Rattus norvegicus: one gene and its partners. The protein of the gene in region 1 binds, or shares a complex with, the protein of each later gene. Links are inferred from orthologs where the notes say so. Each region holds a gene or a part of one and is shown in the gene's direction. Other genes may lie near its edges.

Region 1 (3,506 bases):
TAGTTTATGAGCAGTGTCCCATTTTCAAGTGTAATTTGAAGTGGCAGATGGCAGCCGTGCACATTACCTGCCTGCCCGAGCCTTTGTGCTTACTCATTCACACTCATGCCTTCAGCAAAGCCAACTATAGAAGGTGTGGGAGACAGGCAAGCCGCCTGGGCAACCCAGGCCTCAGTTGGTTGCTGCCACCTGCTGGGGCCTGTTTGCCAGAAGGCTGTCCAGTAGATAAGCAGTCCCAGGACCTCACTGAATCTAGTTTCTCAGCTGTTAAGTTTCTAGAAGACAAGCCTGGTGAGAGTGGTGCGTGCCTTTAACCCCAGGACTTGGGAGGTGGAGGCAGAGGCAGGCTGATATCTGTGAGTTCCAGGTTTCAGGACAGCCAAAGCTACATAGTGAGACCTTGTCTCAAAAAGAAACAAGCTTCTAGATGGCAGCCTATCTATGGGTTAATGGATTGTGCTGCATTATTTCAAATCAGCATAGGTAGGGAATTGACTATTTGGTAACATGTGGTGTCCTGTTGTGTCGAGGTTCAGAGAACAAAGGATATCAAGGGCTCAGAAATCCTGGAATATTAGAGAGCTGTAACAGCCTCAAAGCAGAGGTCTTGGATCTTCAGAATCTGCTAGGGCCTTGGATGGAGAAAGGAAGAACACAGATTTGAGCTCAGTCTGGACAGCTTAATGAGACCATGACTCAAAAAAAAAAAAAAAAAAAAAAAAACAAGGACAGGTTTGGGTCTGGTGGCACTTGGAGGCAGAGCCAGGGAGATCTCCACTAGTTTAGGGCAAGCCTGGTCTACATTGAGAGTTGCAGACCAGCCTAGGCTGTATTGTCAGACCCTATTTATAAAGGAAGGGGTCATAGTGGCAAACACCTTTAATCCCAGTACTCTGAAAGCAGAGGCAAGTAAATTTCTGAGTTTGAAGCTAGTTGGTTTACCTAAGAAAGTTCTTGGCCAGCCATGGCTACAGAGTACAATCCTGTCTGTATACCCATGCATGCCTTCATGCACACACAGGAGTTTGCTGAAGATACATACATAATGTGGTTTGGGTGATAGTGCATTCAGTGCAAATATTATCTAGGCAGGAGCTCCTCGACCATTAGTGCCTCTCCTTTCAGTGAATGACATATCCTCCTGCAGTGAGAGGAGTCATCTTAATCTTGTGACTGTCTTTGAAGCATATATTCAGAAGTTAGGTTGGTTGGGTTTTTTATGGCAGAACACACTTGTGAATAACTAGCTTTCCTTTCTCTTCTGAGGTCACTGTCATTTGTATTAGTAAGTTTATAGTGGGTGCTTCCGTGGGTTTTGTAGTACAGTCAGCATAGTCCTAATTTCCAGGACTCCAGTAATCATTTGTAAGCAGGTTCTGGGGACACAGAATAATGTGAGCCAAACACGAGGAGCCTGCACCCTCATAGTTCTTGGTCTTCTCCCTGCTTTAGCAGGCCCAGGCAACACAAAGGTAGTACCTTTCCTTTTTCCACAGGAAACTTGTGTTTGAAGACCCATCTTAGGTCAGATGGGGTGTGGCTCATAATTTTATTCCCAGCACTCAGAAAACAGGACAGTCAGGCTGGAGAGATGGCTCAGCGGTTAAGAGCACTGACTGCTCTTCCAGAGGTCCTGGGTTCAAATCCCAGCAACCACATGGTGGCTCACAACCATCTGTAATGGGACCCGATGTTCTCTCCTGGTGTGTTTGGAGACAGCTACAATATACTTCTATATAATAAATAAATCTTTTGAAAAGAAAACAGGGCAGTTGAGGCCTGTCTTTAAAGAAAAACACATCTTATAGAAGTAGGAATTCTAGATGCTTATCATATGCTTGCTTCTTAACTATTATTTCCCGTCCCTACAGTGTGTGTCATTTGTGTGGATGCTCATTAAACTGCTGATTAACTCAGTCTGTGGACTGAGTCTGTTAAGTCACTGAAATCAAATCAGACTGCCCTCTATTGAATTCAGTAAACATTGAGCAGCCATTACTGTATATTTTCCGCTAGATTCCTCTCTATTCGGGACTTCCAGGCCTTTGATGCACATGCTTGTATATTTAGTGAAGTACACATTGTAGAATCAGAAAAACTGTTGAACCTTTTCATAGAAACCCCACTTGGGTTTCAAGGGTGCTAGTTTTTGTTACTGCTGAGTATTTAGTGTATGTCACTGTCAGTATTATTTCCTGCCTTGATAATCTCATCTGTGGAGGGTTTTTATAATTTTGGTTTTGGTTTTTAGGGATACCTGAAAGAAATCTTGAAAGAAATCGGCATTCAGAATGTAAAAGGAATTCACAAGAATACGTGGGAGCTGAAGCCAGAGTACAGGCATTACCAAACAGAGGAGAAGAGCGACTGAGAGAAGCGTGTGCAACAGTTACAGGCAGATCTCTGCCACCACACGCTGACTGCCTGCCCACCCTGACAGGACAAAGACAACTGAGTCTGTCTGCCATTCCTCAGTAAACTGTTAAAGCTGGGACTCCAAAAGGTTTCTAAGTGTTTTTTGAAGAGAAAGATATTATTTATAGACTAGACTTGTGTTAAGCCATAGCATTCAGCAGGCATGCTGACAACACATACATGTGTCTGACACTCAGGAGACTGAGGCAGGCAAAGGGTGAGTGACTTTGAGACCAGTCTGGAATACACAGCAAGACCCTCTCCCATAAAAGGAAAACATTACAGTATGGGTAGGGTCTGGGGTTACAACTGCCTCTGTTCCCACTGGTTAGCTTTGCAAGTGTAAATGGGACATTTCCTAAATGAAATTGTATCTCTGAGGAACTAAGGTAAGAATGGAGAAAGTGGGGGGAGGGAAACTATTAAAGGAACAGAGTTGAAGTTCCTTTTTCTGAAACTGAAGAGGGAACTTGTCCCTCCCTACAGAGGTAATATTTTACCTTCAAACATACGTAAATAAAGAGATCTGTTCCCTTTGTACTAAGTGGCAGCTTTTATCACTGGTGCCTAACCCTTGTGGTACTGGAAAGAGAAACAGTCAAAACTCGAGACAGTTACTGTCCCATCTGGAGAGCTGGCTCGTGGTTACGGGCACACACTGCTCCTGCAAAAGATATGAATTTGGTTCCCAGCAGCCAAGTCAGTTTCTTTCTCAGCTGTCTATACTCCAGCGTCAAGGGATCCTTGCCTTCTTAGGTCTCCACAGGTTTCCACACATACGTGTCCATACATTCACACAGACACATGAATGAAACTAATTTTTTTTTAAAATCTCTTAAAATAACAATTGATAATTAAGTACCTTTCCAACTTCAAGATGCATCTCTAACCAGATATAAGCTCCCTGGAGACTGGCTTTGGCCTGGGATTTTTACTTCCCACTGTCTAGGCAAGGCTGACCCTTTGCTATCAGATTCTATTGCCAACTGAATCGGGGCTGTTAGGTGGTGCACTGAGATGGCAAAGGCAGGTGCTGTTCCCTAGAGCCTCAAACGCTCTCCGCGCTGTCCTCAGCTGAGCGGATGGAAGCA
Region 2 (4,288 bases), on another chromosome or scaffold:
GTCCCTCAAATAGAAAAGAAAGTAAGCCCAGTGCGTGCCCACATAAGTAATCTTTTTGCTTGTTGTCTTTTTGTTTTGTTTAACAAGACACTTTCATTTTTTTTTTCCGGAGCTGGGGACCGAACCCAGGGCCTTGCACTTGCTAGGCAAGCGCTCTACCGCTGAGCTAAATCCCCAACCCCGACACCTTCATTTTTAATGTATCCCTGGCTGTTCTGGAACTCATGCTGTAGACCAGGTTGGCCTTGAACTTGAAGACCCACCTGCCTTTTGTTCCTGAATATTGGGATTTAAGGCGTGTGCCACACTTCCAAGTGACTTCTTCTTAATTAGGTGTACTCAATGATGTCTGTTATCTGTATGTGAGTACAAGCCCACAAGTGCTGGTACCTCCTGAGGCAATGAGAAAGTTTCAGATCCCCTTCGAGCTGGAGTTGTGAGACCTCGGGTGCAGTGTTAGTAATTGAACTCAGGTCCTCTTCGAGAGCTTTATTTTTATTTTATGTGTAAAAACCTTTATTTTTATTTTATATGTATGAATGTTCTGGCTGTATCTATGCCTGTTCACCACAAGGGAGAAGTGTCCATGGAGGCCCCAGATGGCACTGGATCCCCTAGGATTGAAATATAGCTAGTTGAGTTACCATGTTTGTTCTAGGAATCAAACCTGGATCCTTCGGAGGAGCAACCATTGATTTTAACTGTTGAGCAATCTCCCCAACTACCTCATCTTTATTTTTATTTTACAAGCATCGGTGTTCTGCCTGCATTATGTCTGTGTACCACTAGCATGCAGTGCTGAATGAAGCCAGAAGAGGGTGTCAGTTCTCTCTGAACTGTAGTTACAGATAAGATTGTGAGCTATCCTGTGGGGGCTGGCAAGTGCTCTTAAGGACTGAGCTAATTCTTCAGCCCCTAAAATAAAATTTAAAAAACAATTTTTTTTTCTCTTTTTCGGAGCTGGGGACCGAACCCAGGGCCTTGCGGTTGCTAGGCAAGCGCTCTACCTCTGAGCCAAATCCCCAACCCCAAAAACAAATTTTTTTATAGGGTTTGTATACACAGTCTTGGTTATCCTGGAACTCACTTTGTAGATGTGGCTTAGCCTTGAATTTAGAGATCTGTCTGCCACGGCTGGGTTTAAAGGCATGTGGCGACAAGCCAGACCTCTTAACCTTTTTTTTTTTTTTTTTTTTTTTTTTTTAAGGTTTTTCGAGACCGGGTTTTTCTGTGTAATCCTGGCTGTGCTGATGAGCGCTGATGGGAAGGCCTGAGGGGCGGGGCTTCACGTTTCCCCGCCCATGGCGTTAAGACTCAAATCTGCGGAAGCGACTGCGGAGACTTGGTGGGACTTCTGCTAGTGCTTCCGGCGAGGTCCCTTCCTGGGGAGTTCTGGCCTCTGCGGTCCAAGCTTCTGCAGAAGATGTTTTATCATGTGAGCTGGACGCGGGGTAGCGGTGAGGGCAGGGACAGGAGGAGCCTGGAGGGCCGACGGGTCGCCTCCTGTTCTCAGTGTGGCTGGCGGAGTCTTCATCTTCCTTTCTCTGCAGATTTCCCTGGAGCACGAGATCCTACTGCACCCACGCTACTTTGGTCCCAACTTGCTCAACACGGTGAAGCAGAAGCTGTTCACCGAGGTGGAGGGGACCTGCACTGGGAAGTAAGTGTCTGATTCACAGTGTCGTCTGCTGAATGCAGGCACAATAACGCTACTCTGTAACCTCTACTTCACTCCTTCAGTCAGGGCTTGTTACTTACTCTGAGGAACTCTTTCACCACTCCAGGCATCCGAAGCAGCCAGTTTTTGCCTATTTTGGGCCTTCTAAAAGGTTGCTAAACCAAATTTTCTTCGCTTATGCGAGATCAGACCGTTATTATGCAAATGTTTTGGGTTTCGAGATGGCCTCACTATGTGGACCAAGCTGGCCTCTAATTCAGAGAACTGCCTGCCACTGAGTGCTGGGATTAAAGGTTTTCGTCACAATTTTCTGTCTGATTTGTGGTTTTCGAAAGACCTGTCTCACCACTGACCTGGCAAGTCCTGGTACTGAGAGAATAGGTGTATGTCAGCATATCTGTGCCTTCTTGGGCATTTACTGTACAATTGTGAGAGCACCATTTAATATTTCAGGTGCTAATCTGAGTTCTGTCTCTTCTTGGTCATCGAGCTGTTCGAGCAGAGGTTCCATCACACGCAGACTATTGCTGGTGGCTTTTTAGAGGCTCTTCACATACAGTAGCTGTCTTTTTTCATCTTTCCTGCAGATATGGCTTTGTGATTGCTGTCACTACCATCGACAATATTGGTGCTGGTGTGATCCAGCCGGGCCGAGGTTTTGTTCTTTATCCAGTGAAATACAAAGCTATTGTTTTCCGGCCCTTTAAAGGGGAAGTGGTGGATGCTGTGGTCACTCAGGTCAACAAGGTAAGAGTATTATTTATAGAAAGGTTATGGGGTTGGGGATTTGGCTCAGTGGTAGAGCGCTTGCCTAGGAAGTGCAAGGTCCTGGGTTCGGTCCTCAGCTCCGAAAAAAAAGAAGAAAAAAAAAAAAAAAAAAAAGAAAGGTTACGGGGTATTTCCTAAGGTGAGAGTTCAATTCCCAGTCCACTTATTAGTTGCCTTAAGCCTTTTGTGGTTGTCAAGATTTATTTTATTTTATCTTAGTTTTGGGTTTTCTTTTCTTTTTTTTTTTTTTTTTTTTAAGGTTTGTTTGTTTATTTTTATTTATATGAGTACACTGTTGTCTTCAGACACATCAGAAGAGGGCATCAGATCCCATTACAGATGATTATGAGCCACTATGTGATTGCTGAGAATTGAACTCATGATCATTGGAAGAGCAATCAGTGCTCTTAACCGCTGAGCCATCTCTCTAGCCCCTGATTTATTTATTATACACACTCCTCTGTAGCTCTCTTCAGACACACCAGAAGAGGGCATCAGATCTCATTACAGATGGTTGTGAGCCACCATGTGGTTGCTGGGAATTGAACTCAGGACCCATGGAAGAGCAGTCAGTGCTCTTAACCACTGAGCTATCTCTCTAGCCTCAGAAATTAAGTTTCTTAAAGGCTAAGGGGTCTATAGCTCAGTGGTTTAGAGCACCTACTGGTTCTATAAGACCTGGGTTTGACTCCCAGCACCCAGCCAATGGCTCACAATAATCTGTAACTCCTAATTCTGCAGGGTCCCAATACCCTCTCCTGGCTTCCATGGGCACTGCAGGTACATGGTGCACAGGCACATGTGAGGTCAGAATATTCTTACACATAAAAATAATGAAGAACAAAAATGTAAAGAAATGAAAGATTACACAGAGAGAAATTAAAACAAATGCTACAATTTAAACTGTTAAGAAACATGAATAATGTGCCTAGAAATCAGGTAAAGATGCTTCAGAGCGTTTGAAGCACGGTCATTTTCCTTCTAGGTTGGACTTTTCACAGAAATTGGGCCCATGTCCTGCTTCATCTCTCGACACGTGAGTCTGGGCGTGTGGGGTGAGGCCGAGGAGGAGAAACCAGCCCCTGACTCTCATCCTTTGATGCAGCTATTTGAAATGCTAACCTTTGTGTCAATTTCCTTCTAGTCCATCCCTTCAGAGATGGAGTTTGATCCAAATTCGAACCCCCCTTGTTACAAGACCATGGATGAGGTGAGCGAATGAGGAGGAGTTGGTGAGAGGGATGAGGACCAGGCCTGAGTCTGCTTGATGACCCTGCTCTCTCCTTTCCACAGGACATTGTAATTCAGCAGGACGATGAGATACGCTTGAAGATTGTAGGGACACGTGTAGACAAGAATGACATTGTGAGTCTCTTGCTTGACTGGCCTGCCTTAGCCTCCTGGGTAGTAGGATTATAAATAATCCAAAGTCATCATTCACAGCTGACAGCTGTGGGTTTCTCGTTTCTTTTGTAGAACATATTTATGTGGATGTGTGGGCATACACACTCGCCACAGTGTGACATTTAGACCGCCTTCAGGTCATCGCATGCTGCTGTGGATTTTGGGGGTGGAGGTCAGGTCATCAGGGTTGGAGCAAGCTCTTTCCCCATCTGCGCTGTTGACCTCTTGCCATCCACAGTTGTTGGGGGCTCTGTGCTCTGTGTCCATGAGCAGGGAATAGATGACAGAAGGCTCGGAATGGGGTGGGGCCCCACCTCACCATCCTTTCTCCCTTTCCTCTCGCAGTTTGCTATTGGCTCTCTGATGGATGACTACTTGGGTGAGTGCCTGACATGGGTGCTGGGACCATTCCCTGGAGAAAGGATGTGCTGGAGAGGG
Region 3 (3,697 bases), on another chromosome or scaffold:
TAGGGTCATGGAGTCCTGGAGATGCCCTCAGGCACTGGGAAGACAGTGTCCCTGTTGGCCCTGATCGTGGCCTATCAACGGGTGAGTGGCCTCCTAAGTGCCAGGAATGGGATGGGGAAGGGACTGGATGGGGCTGAGGCCACTTGTCACCCACAGGCTTATCCACTGGAGGTGACCAAACTCATCTACTGCTCACGGACCGTGCCGGAGATTGAGAAGGTGGGCAGTGCAGACAGAACCCATGCTCTGTCCCCTCCACTGGGCCTTGGTGATCCCGTCTCAGCCCTCGGTAGCCTGGTGGGCAGGAACTTGTGTTTGTCCTAAGGTCCCCACCTAATGCTCCCATCGTCTGTGCAGGTCATAGAAGAGCTTCGTAAGCTGCTCAGTTTCTACGAGCAGCAGGAGGGTGAGAAGCTGCCATTCTTAGGACTGGCTCTGAGCTCGAGAAAGAACCTGTGCATTCATCCCGAGGTGAGCCCTGGGCCACGCACCTCAGGCCCAGAGTAAACCCTTTGTCAGTGAGGCGACAGAGTGCGGCTTCCTTTTCAGTTGTTAAATCAGTGTTCATCCTTGGTGGCTAAGGGCGGCACCTGTGCCAAGATCAGAGGCTGCTCCCATGCCACATGGTATCTCAGACTCTCGCATTTGACCTTAGTAAGGGACAGGTCAAAATCTGAATGGTAGCTTACTCAAAGTCGTGGGTGTTTTTGTATACAGGCAAAAGAGGTTAATTCCATGGCAGCCTCAGGCTCTGCCTCACAGTGTCCATTATGTTTATGTGGGTAGTTCAGACCCACACACATCCCGAACCAAACGCTGCTGACCCAGTGCTTTCAGAGAAGGGCTGGCTACTCAAGGCATCTTCGTTTTCTGTTTGGGGGTTTTGCTTGTTTAGAGAGAAATTTAGGCATTTATTTCTTTAAAACCTTACATGTTTGTGTGTATGAGTGTGCATGTATGTATGTGTACATATGGGCATGGGGCAGTCAGAGGACAACTTGTGGGGGTCTGTTCTCCTTGCACTGTGTGGATCCCAGGGATTGAAATCAGGTTGTCTGGCTTGGCAGCAGCCATCCATACTCACTGAGCCATCCAGCTAGCCCTCTGGCTGGCTGGTTTTCTGGGATCTGGATTGTGCCTACGGCTTTGTGTGCTATCCTCTCGCTTCACCTGTCTGAGTAACTGGATCACAGGCCCCTGCTGCCATACCCAGCTCTCGTGGGATGATTTCAGCCAGGCTCCACCTTGACACCGATGCAACAAGTTCTTGTAACAAATATCAATCAGCCAGGCGTGGTGCTGATAATCCCAGTGCTGGCCTTAATCCCAGCACTCAGGATGCAGAGGCCGGCTGATCTCGCTGAGTTCAGTGCCAGCCTAGCCTATAAATGAGTCCAGGACAGCCAGGGCTATTACACTGAGAAACCCTGTCTTCAAACACCAAAAGCCAAACAAATAAAACAAAACAAAACAAAAAACAAATAGCAAATCAGGTGAAGGTTCCCTGTTGCCCCCAAGCCCCAGCTAACACACTACTCCTGTTGTCTGAGTTTGGAGACCCAGTTCAAATAGCTGATATGCACCCCTTCCTGTCTCTGTTTTAAATTGTCCACTAACTCCCTCCTAGGTGACACCACTGCGCTTCGGGAAGGACGTTGATGGGAAGTGTCACAGCCTGACAGCGTCATACGTGCGGGCACAGTACCAGCAGGATGCCAGCCTACCTCACTGCCGTTTCTATGAGGTACAGGGAGAGCCCAGACTGGGGAGCAGGGCTGGGGCACGACAGAGCACCTCTCCCTGACCTTGCCACCCTCTGACCTTGCCCCAGGAATTTGACACCCATGGACGCCAGGTGCCCCTCCCTGCGGGCATCTACAACCTGGATGACTTGAAGGCCCTGGGGCAGCGGCAGGGCTGGTGCCCCTACTTCCTGGCTCGATACTCGGTGAAGAGTCGTTTTGTTTTCTTCTGAGGCAGAATCTCATTTGTAGCCCAGGCTGGCCTCAAACTTGGACTAACCCTGCCTCAGGTTCCCAGCTGTTAGGGTGTAGGCATGAGACGCTGTGCCGTCCTTCTGTTGGCCCTTCTGTTTCCATCCTATTACCTCTGTGGTTTTGTGCCTTGCCTGGGTGGTCCTGTCCATCTTTCCACCCATTGCTGTGTCTGTCTTTGTGGCACCTTCATGGACCTGGAGTAGAGTGGGTGTGGCGGGGGGAGCAGGGCCCAGGGCAACCTCTCCCTCCGTGTGCCCAGATCCTGCATGCCAACGTGGTGGTTTACAGCTACCACTACCTCCTGGACCCCAAGATCGCAGACCTGGTATCCAAAGAGCTGGCCCGCAAGGCCGTTGTGGTCTTCGATGAAGCCCACAATATCGGTGAGGAGGGTATCAGGGTGTGCAGACGATGGCAGCCCTCTGTCCCCCACCCCCAAGCCTGACTGAGCCCAGCTCTCACCCCTTTTCTCTTTCTCCTAGACAATGTCTGCATCGACTCCATGAGTGTCAACCTCACCCGCAGGACTCTGGACCGTTGCCAAAGCAACTTAGACACCCTGCAGAAGACGGTGCTCAGGTGCCCTCTCCGCTCCCGCTGTTGTGTGCGCCTCAGTGGCCCTGGACCCCTGCCTCATTCCAGCTCCTGTCCCTTGTCCCCATCAGGATCAAGGAGACAGATGAGCAGCGGCTACGAGATGAGTACCGGCGCCTGGTGGAGGGCCTGCGGGAGGCCAGTGCAGCTCGGGAGACAGATGCCCACCTGGCCAACCCTGTGCTGCCCGATGAGGTGCTGCAGGGTGAGCTACACCTCACCCCACCCAGCCTCCGGCCCTCACACACTCCTCCTGTACCAACTGACTTGATCTCCCTGCAGAGGCCGTGCCAGGCTCCATCCGCACCGCCGAGCACTTCCTGGGCTTCCTGCGGCGGCTGCTGGAGTATGTCAAGTGGCGGCTGCGTGTGCAGCATGTGGTGCAGGAGAGTCCACCTGCCTTTCTGAGCGGCCTGGCCCAGCGTGTGTGCATCCAGCGCAAGCCCCTCAGGTGCGGCCTGCAGCGGGAGCCATGGGCCCATACCTTTTGCTGGTGATGGAGGGATCTGGACCATAGCTAAGGCTGTGGGTCAGGTCAGCTTTGGATGTGGAGGGAGTCTGTGGGACTGTGTGGTGGGCAGTGAGTACCACAACCACGTGTCCCTATGTTGGGGGATGAGCAGATGACATAGACTTTGTGAGCCTAAGAAAGCGTGTGGCTAGTCCTCTTTGTGTGTGGGGTGGGGCCCATGGCACTGGCTGGCCAGAAGCAGAGTGACTGTTGGCCATGAGTTTTGACAAGATACTGCAGTGAGTGGGGAGCTGTGCTCCAGCCTGGAGTGGTGACCCTGGGTGTCTTATACAGTATGGGGACAGCGTCACACAATGCCCAGATTCCCAGGGAAACATGTGGCGAGAGTTGGGCCTGTTGCTACTTCTCACTCCTGACCCCTTTGCTTCTCAGGTTCTGTGCCGAGCGCCTGCGCTCCCTGCTGCACACCCTGGAGATTGCTGATCTGGCCGACTTCTCCCCACTCACACTCCTTGCCAACTTCGCCACTCTCGTCAGCACTTATGCCAAGGGTAAGCTTCCCTCTCTACTGGGGCCCTGACAGCAGGACTCAGGAGCTCAGCTGTGTGGGACTGGGTATCAACAGGGGGATAAA

What was found.
Region 2: Gtf2f2 (region 1) and Polr2g share a complex: the UniProt entries of both Homo sapiens proteins name them as parts of the TBP-based Pol II pre-initiation complex. The link is inferred for Rattus norvegicus from reciprocal best matches to the Homo sapiens genes GTF2F2 and POLR2G.
Region 3: Gtf2f2 (region 1) and Ercc2 share a complex: the UniProt entries of both Homo sapiens proteins name them as parts of the TBP-based Pol II pre-initiation complex. The link is inferred for Rattus norvegicus from reciprocal best matches to the Homo sapiens genes GTF2F2 and ERCC2.

Annotation. Positions count from the first base shown.
Region 1 is NC_086033.1:57,614,814-57,618,319, reverse strand, and holds the end of Gtf2f2 (general transcription factor IIF subunit 2), read left to right. Parts: exon of another isoform or gene 1-2,251; coding exon 2,252-2,371; 3' UTR 2,372-2,959; downstream 2,960-3,506. UniProt on the Homo sapiens protein: TFIIF is a general transcription initiation factor that binds to RNA polymerase II and helps to recruit it to the initiation complex in collaboration with TFIIB.
Region 2 is NC_086019.1:215,118,718-215,123,005, reverse strand, and holds the start of Polr2g (DNA-directed RNA polymerase II subunit RPB7), read left to right. Parts: upstream 1-1,349; 5' UTR 1,350-1,423; coding exon 1,424-1,435; intron 1,436-1,547; exon of another isoform or gene 1,548-1,550; coding exon 1,551-1,660; exon of another isoform or gene 1,661-2,265; coding exon 2,266-2,425; exon of another isoform or gene 2,426-3,431; coding exon 3,432-3,482; exon of another isoform or gene 3,483-3,590; coding exon 3,591-3,656; exon of another isoform or gene 3,657-3,739; coding exon 3,740-3,811; exon of another isoform or gene 3,812-4,195; coding exon 4,196-4,229; coding exon of another isoform or gene 4,230-4,288. UniProt on the Homo sapiens protein: Core component of RNA polymerase II (Pol II), a DNA-dependent RNA polymerase which synthesizes mRNA precursors and many functional non-coding RNAs using the four ribonucleoside triphosphates as substrates.
Region 3 is NC_086019.1:88,164,277-88,167,973, forward strand, and holds part of Ercc2 (general transcription and DNA repair factor IIH helicase subunit XPD), read left to right. Parts: intron 1-3; coding exon 4-81; intron 82-156; coding exon 157-219; intron 220-357; coding exon 358-471; intron 472-1,627; coding exon 1,628-1,744; intron 1,745-1,831; coding exon 1,832-1,948; intron 1,949-2,177; exon of another isoform or gene 2,178-2,256; coding exon 2,257-2,380; intron 2,381-2,479; coding exon 2,480-2,576; intron 2,577-2,662; coding exon 2,663-2,796; intron 2,797-2,873; coding exon 2,874-3,042; intron 3,043-3,495; coding exon 3,496-3,614; intron 3,615-3,697. UniProt on the Homo sapiens protein: ATP-dependent 5'-3' DNA helicase. Component of the general transcription and DNA repair factor IIH (TFIIH) core complex, not absolutely essential for minimal transcription in vitro.